Linked DNA regions of Neodiprion lecontei. The protein of the gene in region 1 purifies or fractionates together with the protein of each later gene. This does not show direct contact. Links are inferred from orthologs where the notes say so. Each region holds a gene or a part of one and is shown in the gene's direction. Other genes may lie near its edges.

The links. The genes of interacting proteins can lie anywhere in the genome.
Region 2: the proteins of eukaryotic translation initiation factor 4E (region 1) and hematopoietically-expressed homeobox protein HHEX purify together in Homo sapiens (affinity purification with western blotting; 3 studies listed by BioGRID and IntAct, with this or other methods). This does not show direct contact. The link is inferred for Neodiprion lecontei from reciprocal best matches to the Homo sapiens genes EIF4E and HHEX.

Annotation. Positions count from the first base shown.
Region 1 is NC_060260.1:30,404,400-30,410,506, reverse strand, and holds eukaryotic translation initiation factor 4E, read left to right. Parts: upstream 1-2,646; 5' UTR 2,647-2,751; coding exon 2,752-2,781; intron 2,782-3,353; coding exon 3,354-3,532; intron 3,533-3,989; coding exon 3,990-4,307; exon of another isoform or gene 4,308-4,391; coding exon 4,392-4,506; 3' UTR 4,507-5,005; downstream 5,006-6,107. Other genes in the region: uncharacterized protein LOC107224388, read right to left, coding at 1-491, 1,722-1,803, 2,502-2,545; uncharacterized protein LOC107224395, read right to left, coding at 5,847-6,103. UniProt on the Homo sapiens protein: Acts in the cytoplasm to initiate and regulate protein synthesis and is required in the nucleus for export of a subset of mRNAs from the nucleus to the cytoplasm which promotes processes such as RNA capping, processing and splicing.
Region 2 is NC_060265.1:21,401,088-21,410,333, reverse strand, and holds hematopoietically-expressed homeobox protein HHEX, read left to right. Parts: upstream 1-2,876; 5' UTR 2,877-3,257; coding exon 3,258-3,555; intron 3,556-7,850; exon of another isoform or gene 7,851-7,852; coding exon 7,853-8,082; intron 8,083-8,173; coding exon 8,174-8,356; 3' UTR 8,357-8,731; downstream 8,732-9,246. UniProt on the Homo sapiens protein: Recognizes the DNA sequence 5'-ATTAA-3'. Transcriptional repressor. Activator of WNT-mediated transcription in conjunction with CTNNB1.

The DNA of each region.
Region 1 (6,107 bases):
GGCCCAAAATATGAAGTTTGATCAAACTGCCCCTGGAGTTGATCGTATCGAGGATTCCTTCTGTTTTTCCTATGGAAATTACTCCGTTGGTTATATATATTGTTCCGATTGTGGTTGAACCTGTCTCGCCTGACATAGTTACTTCTCAACGGCATGTCTCGTTGAAAATTATTTGGTGTCATGTCGCGAGGTGACTGCGGTGGTAGTGGTGGAGTCTGAGGCGTCATCCACTGCCATGGTGGAGGCGGATGTGACCAGGGTTGCATGGGTGTAACTTGGGAATGTACTGGTCCAAATACATGAGGTGGAGGAGGGAGCGTGCCTGGTGGGGGAGGCATAGGAGGCAAGGGTGGCTGTCCAGGTAAGGGTTGATTCAGAGCTGCCGGAGAGGGGGAGGGTACGGAGTAACTGCCATAAGTATTATCATATCCAAATGCTGCCAACTCCTGTTTTACTGCCAAACGTTTACTGTCTCCATTTTCTTCAGGTCCCTGAAAACAGTTGCATTTGAAGTTACTTTCTTCTCAGGCTTATTTAATGAACATTGCTCTTTGTAAGATGCTGAAAAGAAATTTACAGAAAGCAAATGAAAGGAATAAATTGGACATTATGTTGAACAACAATGTTATAATTGTAATCATGTAGTTAGTAATAGGAATTGAAAAGTGTACGGAAGCCGGTCTACGAATGTACCGGAATGTATTCTACAGATGCATCCCCTATGCTTCTAGTTACACAGGTCTGGTTTAAAGAACAGATTGGCACAATTTCTACATCAGATGAAAGCAATGGCAGCAAAAACAAGACTGGCTAAATGTTATGAAAAATATGAGAAATAACAGTGCGATAATTCTTCAGAAGAACAGAGGACCATAATATATTTGGTTTTTTAGCCCTCTGAGGGCAACCATTTTCAGGGGTCCCTTGTTTAGGCAACCCTGTGTTAAGCAGAATTGGTTTTGTTTATAAAAACGGTTTAAATTCATATTTTTCAGCTTGTAAATAGTGAAATGAAATCGTTAGAATGTCTAGCGTACGATGGTAGAGGAACGAATTCGATATGTTTACTTTAGATGACGTAGTAAGATTTAATACAAAATGAGATATAAGGAATTGGCAAAAATAAATGGGTAATGATCCAGGTTGCCTCCAGAGGGTCAATCAGCCCTGTATCACTTGAAGTCAACAAAATACAGTCCAAATGCTAACCTTGCAGAATATTTTTTGTAAAGCCTAGTTCAGATGATCATATGTACATCTTTGCTTCGACAATTACCTTGAAGTGGGAACAAATTATAAGGAACAAAATAAAACAAAGATAAAATGTTAATCCAACAAATGGTAGAGTAAGTTCAATAAATTTTCTAAAGCTAAATTATTGAAATGGTTTTTGAGCAATTCCTTAATCATATGTTTGATTTTTTGTCTCATTTTACAGTAAAAGTGAAAGTAATGCGTGAAAGCTGCATTAGACAAGTAATGAAATACTGCACAAAATACAAGCTTTATAATACATATCACTGCATACTTTACACACAAGAAGTGTGTAACTTTGATAATGTTTCTAGCATTCGTACAGTATTGGTTAATGTTAGTGACAACTTGGCAGAAGAAAATTGTGAATTAGAAACGATGTAATGTAAACTGGGAAGAATTATCGAAATAAAAACAGGAGCGTTTGTTATCGTTCAAGCAGCTTAATTGTTATGTGGTTTGTTTACATTTTCTGGTTGGCTGTTTGGATATATCAAGTGAGGATGTTCTTTTTGATGTCCAGTCTTACTCCGTTGATTTGTAGTCTTTCTATTAAACATAATATGATCATCCGAACCTGCTTAAAAAGAGATAATATCGAAAAATAGGTCAATTTTGATGTAACTTCAGGAACAAGCCTAGAAGCTGAGAGTAGTTTTATGACCTTTGTGGCAAAATTGTACGGTGGATTAAAACGTGCAATAGCTGTTTACATTACAAAAATTTGACAAGAAAATTAATCACGACAAATTTAGAGGCATGTTTCATTCAAAAAAATGTCTAAAGACTAATTACACTGTCTTTACCAACCAACGAGCTAACCCCAAATTACAACACGCCTACAAACCATCGATTTTCTAACACGAGATTCAAGAAGAATTGAGGAAAGGGATCCATAGAATAATAACATCGAATATTCACCGCATGCTTCATATTGATCACGATTTCACGGTTCACTGTTTACATGGAATATGTGAGTTGCAAAAAAAAAATAAATATGTTCACTACAAATCACGCGAAATTAGTAGCGTTCCGTGTGGTTGCTGCGAGTTTCACGCTCGCAGAGATGTCGCTGCGGACGAGGTTTTGCGTAGGTGAAAAAAAAAAAAAAAGAAAGACATATAAATAGGGGAAAACAAAAAATACGCCGTCTTTCAATTACAAAACAAAGTTCGTAATTTTCGTGATTATAAAAATAATCAGTGTATTATTGAAAATTTCTCGCTTCATGAAGTAATTACATCTACCTCTGGAAAAGATCCACAAAAAAAATCTGAAGGAACTCAATCATCACGATCGCCGAGGCATCTCTATTTCTTTCTTGTCTGTGTTTGGTCTGTGTCACTGCGTGTTGGTCTTCCCGTTTGCCTCTGCACCGGCTAGCTCGTTTTTCGAAACAATTCCTCGCCGAGCCCGAGTGACTAGTTACGCAAACTCTTACCGACAGATGCCCTTAGTTGTCATTTGCTGAAAATCCTGGCGGTCGACTCCTGTGACATGGCTGCAAATAATTCGGCAGAAATCGAGGTATACTTGTAAAATTTCGTTGAATTATCGTATTTTCTTAACCGAAACTTAACTCGCTTTCCAACGAATATCATTAGTCCGGTATTTTAACCAAAAAAGGTCCGGTTTCACGCATCAGCATGGTTGCTTCCTCGTGCTCCCCGCCGCCACCCTGACCCTCGTCCTTTTGCTGATAGGCATAACCTACTACTATCGCTTCGTTAGATCATTCATTTCTCTGCGTTAACCAATTCTCTTTCTCGTCTTACCGTAAAACGAATTAAAATGATACCAATCATTTTTGTTCGTTCTCCTTGTGTAGATTTCTCGACAACTATTCATTTCAATTCGCGCGATAGTTGATGGTACTTATCATTCATCACTCACGCTTTGGACAACTTCACTCCATACAAAATCTATCAAAGTACTCGTGGTTTCACACGTTCAGAGCTCCGTTCGCTTGAATATGCGGAAATCGCAGTGGTATATGTAGTTTGAATTTACATTTAATTATGTTTGCAGAGTCTGTAGAAAATATTTACCGGCAGTATATGAATGTTGTACAGTAAGCAGAGGTGTATTTATCATTGCAGGATACAGAGAAGAAGGACCAAGAAGTAGCAAATTTGGAAGAATTTCCACCAGAGCTTCTTATCAAGCATCCGTTGCAAAATACTTGGACACTTTGGTACTATGAGAATGATCGCAGTAAGACATGGGAACAAAATCAGCGTGAAATCACAAGTTTCGACACAGCAGAAGATTTTTGGAGGTATTTTTTATAGAAATTTAGTTTTGACGGTCCTTCCACTTTAATATTCCTTCTATCATTTTTGCAAAGTTGAAAAATTACCCTGAATCATTTGTTTAAAAAGTTAAACTCTCAATTAATCAATCAGTAGTACCAAATTCATGTACTGTCAAGTTTTCGTTAAAATTTTTCAATTCCAAAGTAGTATTTACTTCATGAGTAAAGAGAATGGAATGTATATCGCTTTGCTCTCTATGCTTAAATGATGTCAAGTTAGTTTTACGTGCTATACTTTCACATGGTCGTGATCCACTTTCTTCACATTGTATTACATCGAAACATTTACACTTGACCATCCTGTTTTTGAAAAAGTTAACAGTCTCAAGTATCCTGCATATTTCAGCTGTATTATCAAATGTTTTATTTAGTTTCTACCTGTATATTTACACTTCATCTTATGATTAAATTCTTTTTCTAGCTTGTACAATCACATAAAGTTGGCCTCAGAGCTGCGGCAAGGCTGTGACTACAGTATGTTCAAGCAGGGTATTCGGCCAATGTGGGAAGATGATGCAAATAAAAAAGGAGGCAGGTGGCTCATTAGCTTGGACAAAAAGCAAAGAGGAAGTGATTTAGACCGTTTTTGGCTTGAAGTTCTTCTCTGTATGATTGGTGAAGCATTTAACGAGTTCTCTGATGATGTATGTGGAGCTGTGGTCAACGTAAGACCAAAAGGTGACAAAATTGGTGTATGGACAGCAGATGCAAACAGGGGTCAAAGCGTATTGGAAATCGGGTAAGATATTTTTCTAATTAAACCAGAATTGGAAACTGCAGTTTTCCTTAATGTGCCGTATAACCTTTAATATTCTTATTGCAGGCGCAAACTAAAGGAAAGACTGCGGATTGCACCAAGGGTGCAAATAGGCTACCAAATTCATAAGGACACCATGGCTAAAGCAGGAAGCGTCACGAAGAACACTTATTCGGTTTAACCACAGCCCTTTTCTATTATTATTATACATCATCCTCATATTTCCTGACCCCAACCATTCGAATAACAAATAATTGCAGAGCAAATTATCTAATAGATATATTTATGGATCATCTGAATTCAACTGTCTGTATTCAGGAGAGGAATATACACATGTACAGAACTAGTGAATGGCTGAGCAAAGAAATAAGCAGTCCCTTCCCCTATTGCGCCCTCCAAAAATTATGTTGACGTAATCATGTTTCCTCTCATAATACGCGACTGAGTGATGGTTAATAAATGAGTTATTATATAACTAAATGCAAGATTTGTTAGTATAAAATTTTACATTGATATATATAACTTGTTCTCACAGTTATTCACCCAGAGGACATTAGCGCAGGCTGCTGTATTTTTTTTCCCTATATATATAATTTTTCTTTTATAAGAATATGTGAAAGAATCTGTACACAAAGGTATAGTCAAGTCATATGTGGAATAAAGTTATTCTTTTCTCACAATCCTTTGTTATATACCCTCCCTGATGTATAATAGGATTCGTGAAATAATTATCTAATTACTACCTAAAATTAGTGGTTTAGAAATGTTCGAATCAAAAGAATTTAACAGGAATCTTCCACTCAGAACTGAAATACATAAATAACCGAAATGCAGCAGCCAGCAAAAGCAAAATAATTTCTCAGTCCATTACTAGTTTAGTTGCATTTTCACTTCCATTTATACTATACGAATCTGCTTGAAACTGGTAACGATAGAGAATATATCTTTATTTTTCAGTGACCTATTATGTTATGAAAATTGTCAGCGTATGTAATACAGCATGCCAATTATAAATGTTGCCTTGTCAATTTATTTACTGTTTACTTCCCTGTTAAAACTGTTACATTATACTTCATTTTCTGTTACCTGCTTCTGAATTTGTCACTATGCGAATATACTATGTATTCGGACGTGAAACTAAAAATATACGCAGATAAATATTCAACAATTTGTTGATAATAAACGTGTGAAAAAAAAAAGCACAGTCCGGATTTACATTATTACGTAGACGTAAATGTACACATATTATCGTAATATATCCTCAGTAGTCCAAATATTCGTTTGTACCATACTTACATACGCCAACATTACATATCAAGATAAAAACAAAAATATCGAGCACACGGTTTTAAACATAGCTATTATTACAATGCCCATATGGATCAGAAAAATATTATTTACAGCGTGAAAAATTTCGCTCATCGGAATCTTTTTGTGTTTGAAAGAAGTATTATGCTGAAACTATACGCAGCTTAATACAGAAGAAACACACGTACAACTGCTCTGTCTCTACGTTGTTCACTATTTCCGAGTTAGTAGATCGTCGACCAGGTTTCTGAGATCCTTACGTCTTGCCTTTTCTAACGCATTCTTCAAGTTGATCGACCAGCAACGCAAATCACTTTTAGCAGCAAATATTTTCAATGCTGCGAAGGCCTTTTCTTTAGAATCAGAATTGAACTGCGTGTCAATACGGTCGATGTCACCCTCCCTGACATCGAGATATCTGGCCACATCACGCCATGATTTGCCTACTGCTTCACTCACTCCGTTGAACACTAT
Region 2 (9,246 bases), on another chromosome or scaffold:
ATGATAATAAACACTGTCTCTCTACTTATGCAGCCAGTTATACACCAGTTTCCCTACGAGCAGTGTGCATTATTTGAAATTACAGGCAACGCGAGTCGCCAGTTTATAAACATTACCAGTTACTTCGGGAGAATTGTAAAAGATAATTTTCCTACTAAAAAAAAAAAAAAAAAATCATCATTATACTTATAAAGCGTTTGACGCTTCCACGAAGCAGTAAATGAAAACTCGTAACCCGAAGATAGAAGTAGACTTGTCGTCGAGGTCGGTGAGGTAGCCGAGCTAAGCCCTCATCCATCACGAAGAGCCCTATTGCATGGCCAACTGGTCTGCGTGCATGTATTTCGAAGTACCGGCCTCATTATCAAAAAAAAAAAAAAACTCGCCTATGGCTCAAATCCTGCAAGCCTCAATCACGGGTTGTCAAAACCGCATAGGAAACGGTGATTGCGGCTTCTAAACATGATAACTTTTTTGTTCTCGGCATATCCAGCAGTTTTTTTTCCTCGGCCAAATTGGCGTAATATTAATTAAGTAATTAGCAAATGTTATTTTAAGCGACGACCACGTATACGGTTAAATATCAGATACCGTCCATCCTGAATCGAGGCTAATCAAGTCCTGCAGAACCCTGCTATGAACAATTTATAAGCATATTTGGCAAAACTGCCTTGGATAGAAAACAATTGTAAGTAATATACGAGTGAATAGAGGCCCGAGTGAGTCTATTTCGCAAGCTGCGGCATGTCGTTTTATAAGCTTTATCGTCGGAAATTAAATGGTAACTGAAATATTTTTTCTATGAATTTCTTTCAAGTGAAATAGTGCTTAAGTCCTGCTGAATATTGTACAACAACGACCATGTCAACAGTGCTCTTGTTGATTTTGTGCCGGTGTTTGAATTTAGCTAAACAATATTCGTCACATACTTGAAAAAAATTTGCTCGAAACCAAAGTATATCATTTTTGTGACATATGATTAAAAAAATGAACCTCTACATTTTCCGGAGCTCATTTTCAGCAATCGGAAATTGTCGAGTGAATTCAGGTAAAATAATTTTCAGCTACTGACCAGCGTGTTTTCATGATAAAACACCGCGAGTAAAACGATCCTGATATTCGAAGTTCTTGGATTCGGCAAAACGAATTATGGAAATCGTTCGTGTGCTTATACTTGTATTTTTGCCACGATGTGCGTGAGTATGGCTCGTTCTTGAGCATAGGATCGAGAGTGAAACGCGCAAGGATCGCGATCGCCAAGGCAGAATCTAGTTATAAATAATACAAGGAATCAGTGCAATCTAGAAGAATCCTGGGCTGTAAAAATATGTCCGATAACCGGGTCGTTCTGGTCGTTAAATTTTGGAGGCGGTTGTCCCCTATTTGCCAAAGAATGATTTACTGTTCTTCGATATTGTATCGCAGTATAGCTTGAATGATGTATGGATCGGTAAATACCTTTAATCCGGTGCCTCAATGGCGCGTAGAAATTCACGCTGTTCAGATACTTTTTTCGAGAGTACGTTATTACATATATTACATATACGAAACTATCTTCTAGTATCGTGACGCAGTAGCGTTGTACAAACAGATGTGAGCTCGATATCGCATTTATAAACCACCGATTTTTTACCGTACGGTTCAACGAGTGTGTAATAATCTTAATGAGTAAATTCGATTTATTTTACAATTGGATTATATGTGGAGAAAACGGAAAATCGCTGTACGATATTCTACGTATACCCGCATATGGATAATATTTGTTTGCTTGCCGAATACCATTATGGTTAACAGAAAAATAAAAAAAAAATAAAACGACCGACAATCATTTTCCCGTTGAGGTCATCCTTCCGCTCCACTTCCTATTTTCGCCAAGTCATTGAAACGGTACACGCACCGATTGTCTTCCTTAGTTTTCATTGTAAAAAATATAATATTCCTTGTAATGAAATTTAATATATAGATTTTGTATTGCGGTACAGACGATAGTAAAATATCATCAATTAGATTTCGTTGTCACTTCGGGCAGAAGCTTAGGCCCACTAAGCCTATAATACACGCAAACTTTTTCGAACAGCGTAAGTATAATTATATTAATAAATATTATTCTTGTTGTCAGTGAATTATCGCACGTTTTTAAAACCAGAAACCTCGTCTGACTCCGTTTTGTTACGTGATTAATTGCCTCGCTGCTGCGGCAGAAGCACCAATAAATGGTATTAATTTTCTATCAGCATTCGCCACATGTGCAGTATCAAGTTTAACTAGGCATCGATTACGATTGACTAATTTAACAATAAAGCCTGGACTCTGTTCACCGACCCGATGTTTACGAATACATGTAATTACCCTCACAGACCTCGAGTTCGTTACTTCGTCAACAATATCGCACAAATATCCTGAGCATAACAAAATTCCGAATTCTCGGATAATCAGAGCTTCGAAATAGATAAATTTTGCATAATTTGAACGATGTACGAGTTATAACGACAAATTCGCATTGGCATCAGTCGTACCATTTAAAATTATTAACGAATCTTTCTTTCCGAACTGTTGATCGAATAATGACTTTAAACCCGTTGAAAATACGCAATTCGAGAAAATTCCAAAAATCCTTGTCCCCTCGCAGGAGGATTAGATTTGTCTCTTGGGTCCATGAAGGAGAGAGGAAGCAGATCGCGTGGCACCAGTGGGCAGGCTGGAAGCTACCGGCCCCGGAGAAGGGGTCCTATCTTCCTTATCACTGCTATTGCTGTCCAATGGCGGAGTGAGGAAGTAATCGTGGTGATAAGGGCGGCGTGTTCTGTCGACAGTACGCGATCTTTCCTGAGGTCCCTGACTGCCAGTCACGTCTGACACCGAGGACAAGTAACGCCACGGAGTGGCGATCGCGGTCACAGCCGAGTTTTTCCCAGTTCTGTGCTTATTTTTAGGTCCTATTCGGCAGTCGACACTCAATTACCCACAAGTCACTGTTGAAGGAGTCCGATTAACAGATCCTTGGACTCAGTCATTGGCGGAAGTTGGATGCAGGACACTCGGCCTTCGCTCCGAAGAGTCCGTCAATAGAGAGTTGGAGGAGGATTTGAGGACAAGACGCGATTCGAATTGACCAGTAACCCTTCAACATGATCGTCAGGAAATAGCAATCAGCGTTTTTTGTTTTTTTTTTGAACGAAAAGAAAGTAACAATCGTACCCAAGCCGCAGAGGTACGCAACTAGAGCTTCGAGAGGTGATCCAATTCCTCGTGTGGAAATGACAGCGACGATGTGCAAGACGACGAGGTCGTTCCGCATCGACGATCTCCTCCATCCGGAACGTGGATCCTCCATTCGAGACAGCGCCGTCTCGTCCAGGGAGGGTGAGAGGTCCTCCTGCAGCTCTCCGACGTCACCCGAGACCCCCATGACACCCTCAACACCACCGCGTACACCCACCATCCCGTTTCCCATGCATCTCCAAGCACACTGGCCTGCGAGACCAACTCCCGTTTACGCACCGCATATGGACGATCGGCGACTATGTCTTCCCTACGACCTTCATCCCTTCAGAGGTGAGTTATCCAGTCGTCCCTTCAGAGGTGAGCCAATGTCCCGGAGCAAAAATACTGGCTCGTTTTTAGCTTCTTCGAACATACTAAAATCCTGTTTACTGAAATGAGCCTCAAAGAGATAACGAACGATTGATGTGCTTTTGGTGTACATCCAAATCAGGATCATCGGGGACCTGATGCATGCATATCGCGTGTTTTCGCAATTCATGCGACATATGTCATTGCCAGCTCGATAAAGTACTGTTACCATGGGCAGCTTGGTCGGTTGATAAACGATAATATTGCGCCTTTGAGGATAATACTTAATTAAGAACGTCGATGTTCTTACAGGATGCGGCTACTGACCATGCAGTGGGCTTTATATACGCACACAATTACGCTTGTACTCGCATTCGTATTTCATATTCAAACTAATAGCTGTTCAGTGAACGCGAATTAACAATTTATAACGTGTACTTAGACACATCCTTTAGCTCTTTACAATGCCCACAGTAAATTGCATAACGGGATTCCCGCAAAGATATTGTCTGCGGAATTTTATTTACGTATTACATGAGTAACAGGATACCTATGGTGCAAAACCAGTGCATGAACGTATTTCCCACTTTGTCTTTCGTGGTAATATAATTGATAGTGACTAAAGAAGTTGGAATATTATCAAGATTTATTCTTTGGGAATATGAATCATAATTTAGCGCGACGTAATAGAGAATTCAGTAACGACAAAATTTACTCTTCCAAAATCCGATCAGACTTCCCGCGGTATTACAGAATTGCAACACATGACTCGATGACAATTTTACAGTATGACTCCCATCTCCGATTGCTTAACATCCTTCGGAGACCGCAAAATAACCACCGTCCCGCTTGTTCGAAAGCACTTACAACTGCGATACAATCTGTCGCTGTCGGCGAGAAGAAATCTACAAAAATCAACCCCAAGAATCATTCGTGGTCAAAGAAATCGAGTATCAGCCACTTCCCGTTTCCGTTTACAGCCGTGATTCTCAGAGGCTGGAGAGATGATATACGTAACGTAGGTACAAGTACAGTCGAAGTGCAAACGTAGTTGATTTTTTCAAAATTTGGGATGAGGTAAAATCAATTTTGATAATCGGTGAAAAACTTGGGTACCGTACGCCTTTCAGCCCGCCTTCGAGCCGAATAGTTTATCATTCGTGCAGCCCGGGAGTTAACACGATATGTTTATCTTCAGGGACTTCCTTCCTGTACTTACTTTCCGTGCCTCCGCTGTATCTCGCTGAAAACGGCTGAATATAAAGCAACATTCCTGACAACTACCCACGTCTGACAAGTTATCGGTGAAATTTTCTCAAGTAGCAATTACATCCGGGAACAATCAGTAATTAAAGAGAGCTAACAATTCGTTAGAGCATGATGGACAGCTTGTTCTTTTTAGTAGGATATATTACAAAATGTTCAAAATCAGGTTGTTTAGCCGAGGAGATCATAATTGAGCAAATCGAGCGCAACAAAACGACAAATAATTTAATTAGTTAATCAATCATATAGCTCTGGAAAGGGTAATTAAGATTAAGCGGCGTTTAATGCGGTGAATTATAGATTACGTCAAGTAGTTGGTTATTAATTACTTAATTACTCAACGATTAAAGTCATGTGAAAGAATTTCGAAGCACGTGCTTATTCAACATCCAATTTTAGTCAGCGCACGTTTGTTGATATTAAATAAATTGTCATTCACGATGATGCACTGTGTAACACAGAAAGATTAAGATCTACCAAGGTCAGAATTTATCTAATTTTCAAATGCCGTACAACGATACTGTCAAAAAGAGATTCCAGGCACCTTTTCATTTCTACATATATACACGAGTATTATGTATACGTATACCGTATATAAGCTTAATCGGTGCCCGTATATGTATATGCATACGGTAAACAACCTGGAAAAGGCACAAACTCTGATCGCGCGGACTATCTCGAAAAGTTTATTTTCCAAACTTAATACGTCAAACAATCCCTATCTATCACAAATATACATATCAATTAAACGCTCTTCGGCAAAGGGTGCAACAGCCGTTCTCAAACATGCTGAAAACCGTTCAGACCGATCGATTCGTAGTTCCGGTACTAGATTTAATTGGCAAAAATTTACATTGTTTATGAAAAAAAGTAGCGTCACTATCGTTCACTCCGTTAATTATCAATCATTGTAAAGGGCAGCAATTATCGCATTCAGTTAGTCATTTAAAGACAGCCGCAATAAAGATAGGAAATATAATATCGCGCACCAACAATATTTTATTGAATACCAATTGCTGGTTTTCCGCCAGTGATGCAATATCTGGCTTAATAAATCGATTAATCAAAAATCTACGACATCTTTTGATAACTAAGCTTTCGCGGTAAGCGCTTTTATCGTGACAACCCGGCTAATAGCTCTGGAATAATATGTCAATCCGTCCGCACGTTCAATCGGTTCTCTCTATCGTGTCGTGCGTGTGTACAGCCTATCTGACAAAAACACCGAAACGTCTATCCTTACCGCATACCAGTGTGCGTCAGCTGGATGGACAAGCCGCTAATCTTGTATAATGTATCATTACGGACTATTTTTAAGTTATAATTTTACATACTTCCATTGTAATTACTGTAATAACAGTATCGCGCAATAAAACTCACGACAATCGAATACTTTTCGAAAATAATACATCTGATACTACCTGCCATTAATCGCGCCCTAATTCCACCGCAAATCTCAAATTATTATTCACACCCGATTGTGTTCATCGGTTACTGCGCGCAATCGTGTTTACCTAATTTATGACAAATGTTCAATGACTTGTAAATTAATTCGTGTGAATCACATCGTTTGCGAAATCGTCGGAGACGTTAACGTAATACTTGGTCATATACCGTCAAGATACATATATATAAGGATACGGTCGAAGATCTCGTTCTCCGCATTACACACTAATCAGTATTTCCTTGATTTTCAAATCGATCACTGATTACCGGTATATTTGGCACTTGGCATCTGATATTTATTACAGGCAGTATCGTTGACACATTCGATACCCTACCGTAGTATCATGTAATTGTCTACGCGTGAAAACTCACGTGCTCCATAATGATCGCGACTCCCTGAAATTGCAGGGTCGCCGTTTTGACTTGAAAGAAATATGGCGAACGGACTTGACCGAGCTATGTTGTAGCGTAGAAAATATTGCGCAATCATTCGTCGAGGCATGAAAACCGAGGAAAACCTGCAGAAGAGCACCTAATTTCTCGTCAATATTAGGTCGATCCGTTTTTCCCCGCAGTCTGTTCTCGATCAAGGATCTAAAACCGTTACATCAAACGCCCATCCGCCCCGGCTACTTCATCGAGGATCACGATTACGTCCGATATACACGCGTAGTTGAACCGATGCAGTAATACTAGTACCTAAAAGATACACGATAGTTACTGTGTACCATCGCGGTGCTACCGGTATTATACGAAAGGGAACGAGTCGTCTATTTGTCGGCGGTCAACACGGTTATCAGTAATGTATTTGATTGTCTGATGAATGTTCCGAGGCGCCAAAAAGAGATTATAATGCTATTGATCATTAATGCCACCGTGCGGGATAAGTGGGCGCAACCCACACCCGCAACTCTCCTCATCCTTGCGGCCTGCAAGTCTCTGCACGTATGTACAATGTACACACAAGCCCCCGCGATATACGCATGTGGATGAGCAAGGTGCACCGATCGGCTCGTACTACTATCAGTTTGGGCACTGACTGATGCCCGAGCCTTGGGCCCGCGCCGCTACCGAAACCCACCAAGGATTACCCCGACAAAATAATATCGATCAATCGTGCCAGAGTATTACCGAATCCCCTGCATACGCCCGGCCTTCCCCCGACTCTAATATCTCTACTGTCATTCCGTATTGTTCAACGATCGGCCATTGTACCACATTTTTTTATCTCTTCTTAAATCGCGACATATCACGGAATAGGCCTGCTAAATTTTCGTCACAACTGTGTATAATAAGATGAATTGGTGCAGCTACGCACCCGGTTGTTTCAGTGATGTGCCCCATAGGGGCCCCTAATCATAGGCTAATCAGGGTACAAATCCACTCTGAGCAGCTCCGAGTTTTAGCCGCGTGATAACAAAAGAGCAGCGGACGAAATGTACCCTGATTTACCTAAAATCGGAAGTCCCCGTGGGACGCTTCGCCGAAATAACCCGGTGCAGTGTGTAGCATTTGGCGCATCCCGATTTCAGAGGGCATTATAGCTTACTTTTTTCTTTACTTACAGCGGTTCCACCAACCAGATTCTGGCCGCTCTATTCGCCCTACCAGATCCCTTTGCAGCACAATATACTGGCACGACTGTCGGCCGCCCATCACAGCAAACGCAAAGGAGGTCAGGTCCGCTTTACACCACAGCAAACTGCGGGCCTTGAACGGAGATTTGGTTCCCACAAATACCTCAGCCCTGAGGACCGCAGGCATCTTGCTGCGCAGTTGAAACTCACCGATCGTCAGGTAAGGAACGATGCTATCGGCATTAAATTTGATGTTATGCCTCGTCACTGCAAGCTTATCCTCAGCATTTGACTTCCGTTCTGTAAAACAGGTGAAGACATGGTTCCAAAATCGAAGAGCAAAATGGAGACGCGCCAATCCAACGGCGGCAAACGGTGAAGGTGGAGAAGGCTCGGGAAATTCGCTTAAAAATGGTACGAGCGGAGAGGCTAACGAGGAGCTGGATGAGCCTTACGACAGCGACTGCGAAAGTCCGATTTCGGTTACCGACTAGACGAACGTTGGAGAGCCAATTTAGATGCCACGATATCTCCGTTGAGAATGAGACACGAGATACGAAGGCGTACTGATCACACTCACCCGAAACAGACTAATCCATGTATAAATATTCCCACCCCTAGGCGAAGTCAGACGTACGCTCAACGTTTCGGAAAGCTGCGAATATCGAGATTCGAACTATTGAAAAGTCTCGACGCAGGTGGATAGATACTTCTACCCAAGTTTGGTATTAACGATGTATCTTTATGCAGTCCCACATTTAAGAAACCGTGACGAGTCGATCGGGTGATCGATCACGGCTGGTCAACTTTGTGCCAGAAATTATAATCGTGCAGTTTTGTTTATTTGCACTTTATACTTACAATTTGATATCGGATTACTATCGTCTTGTTAAACGGTCACTTGATCTCCCGACCCAACGGGATTCCACTTGGGCCTTCAACAAAGGAAAATGTATAAATCGGTGAGATTTCGTATTGGACATTGAAGGAGAAAGAAAGGCTTCGGAACTATCGAATACGAACAAAGTTTGTGTATAGTTTGTATTATAATGTACAGTGAAATTTGAAAACAAACGACCCATGAATTGAATATTTTATATATACGTGTAATCAGCTCATCAGACCAGCATGTTTTATATTAAAATATGTAAATATGGGATGATTGAGTTTGCATTTAAGATATATTTATTAAATCATTACGTTATACCATGTATATAACTGCTTGTATATTGTCATTTTTTTTTTAGTTGATAAGGAAGTACTGCACATATTCAATAGTATTAATATCCCCTGTTTACACTAAAAATATAATAATAATATAATAACATCGAAATGGATTTTGTGAAATAATAAATTTATGCGAAACATGCATCATATATTATAT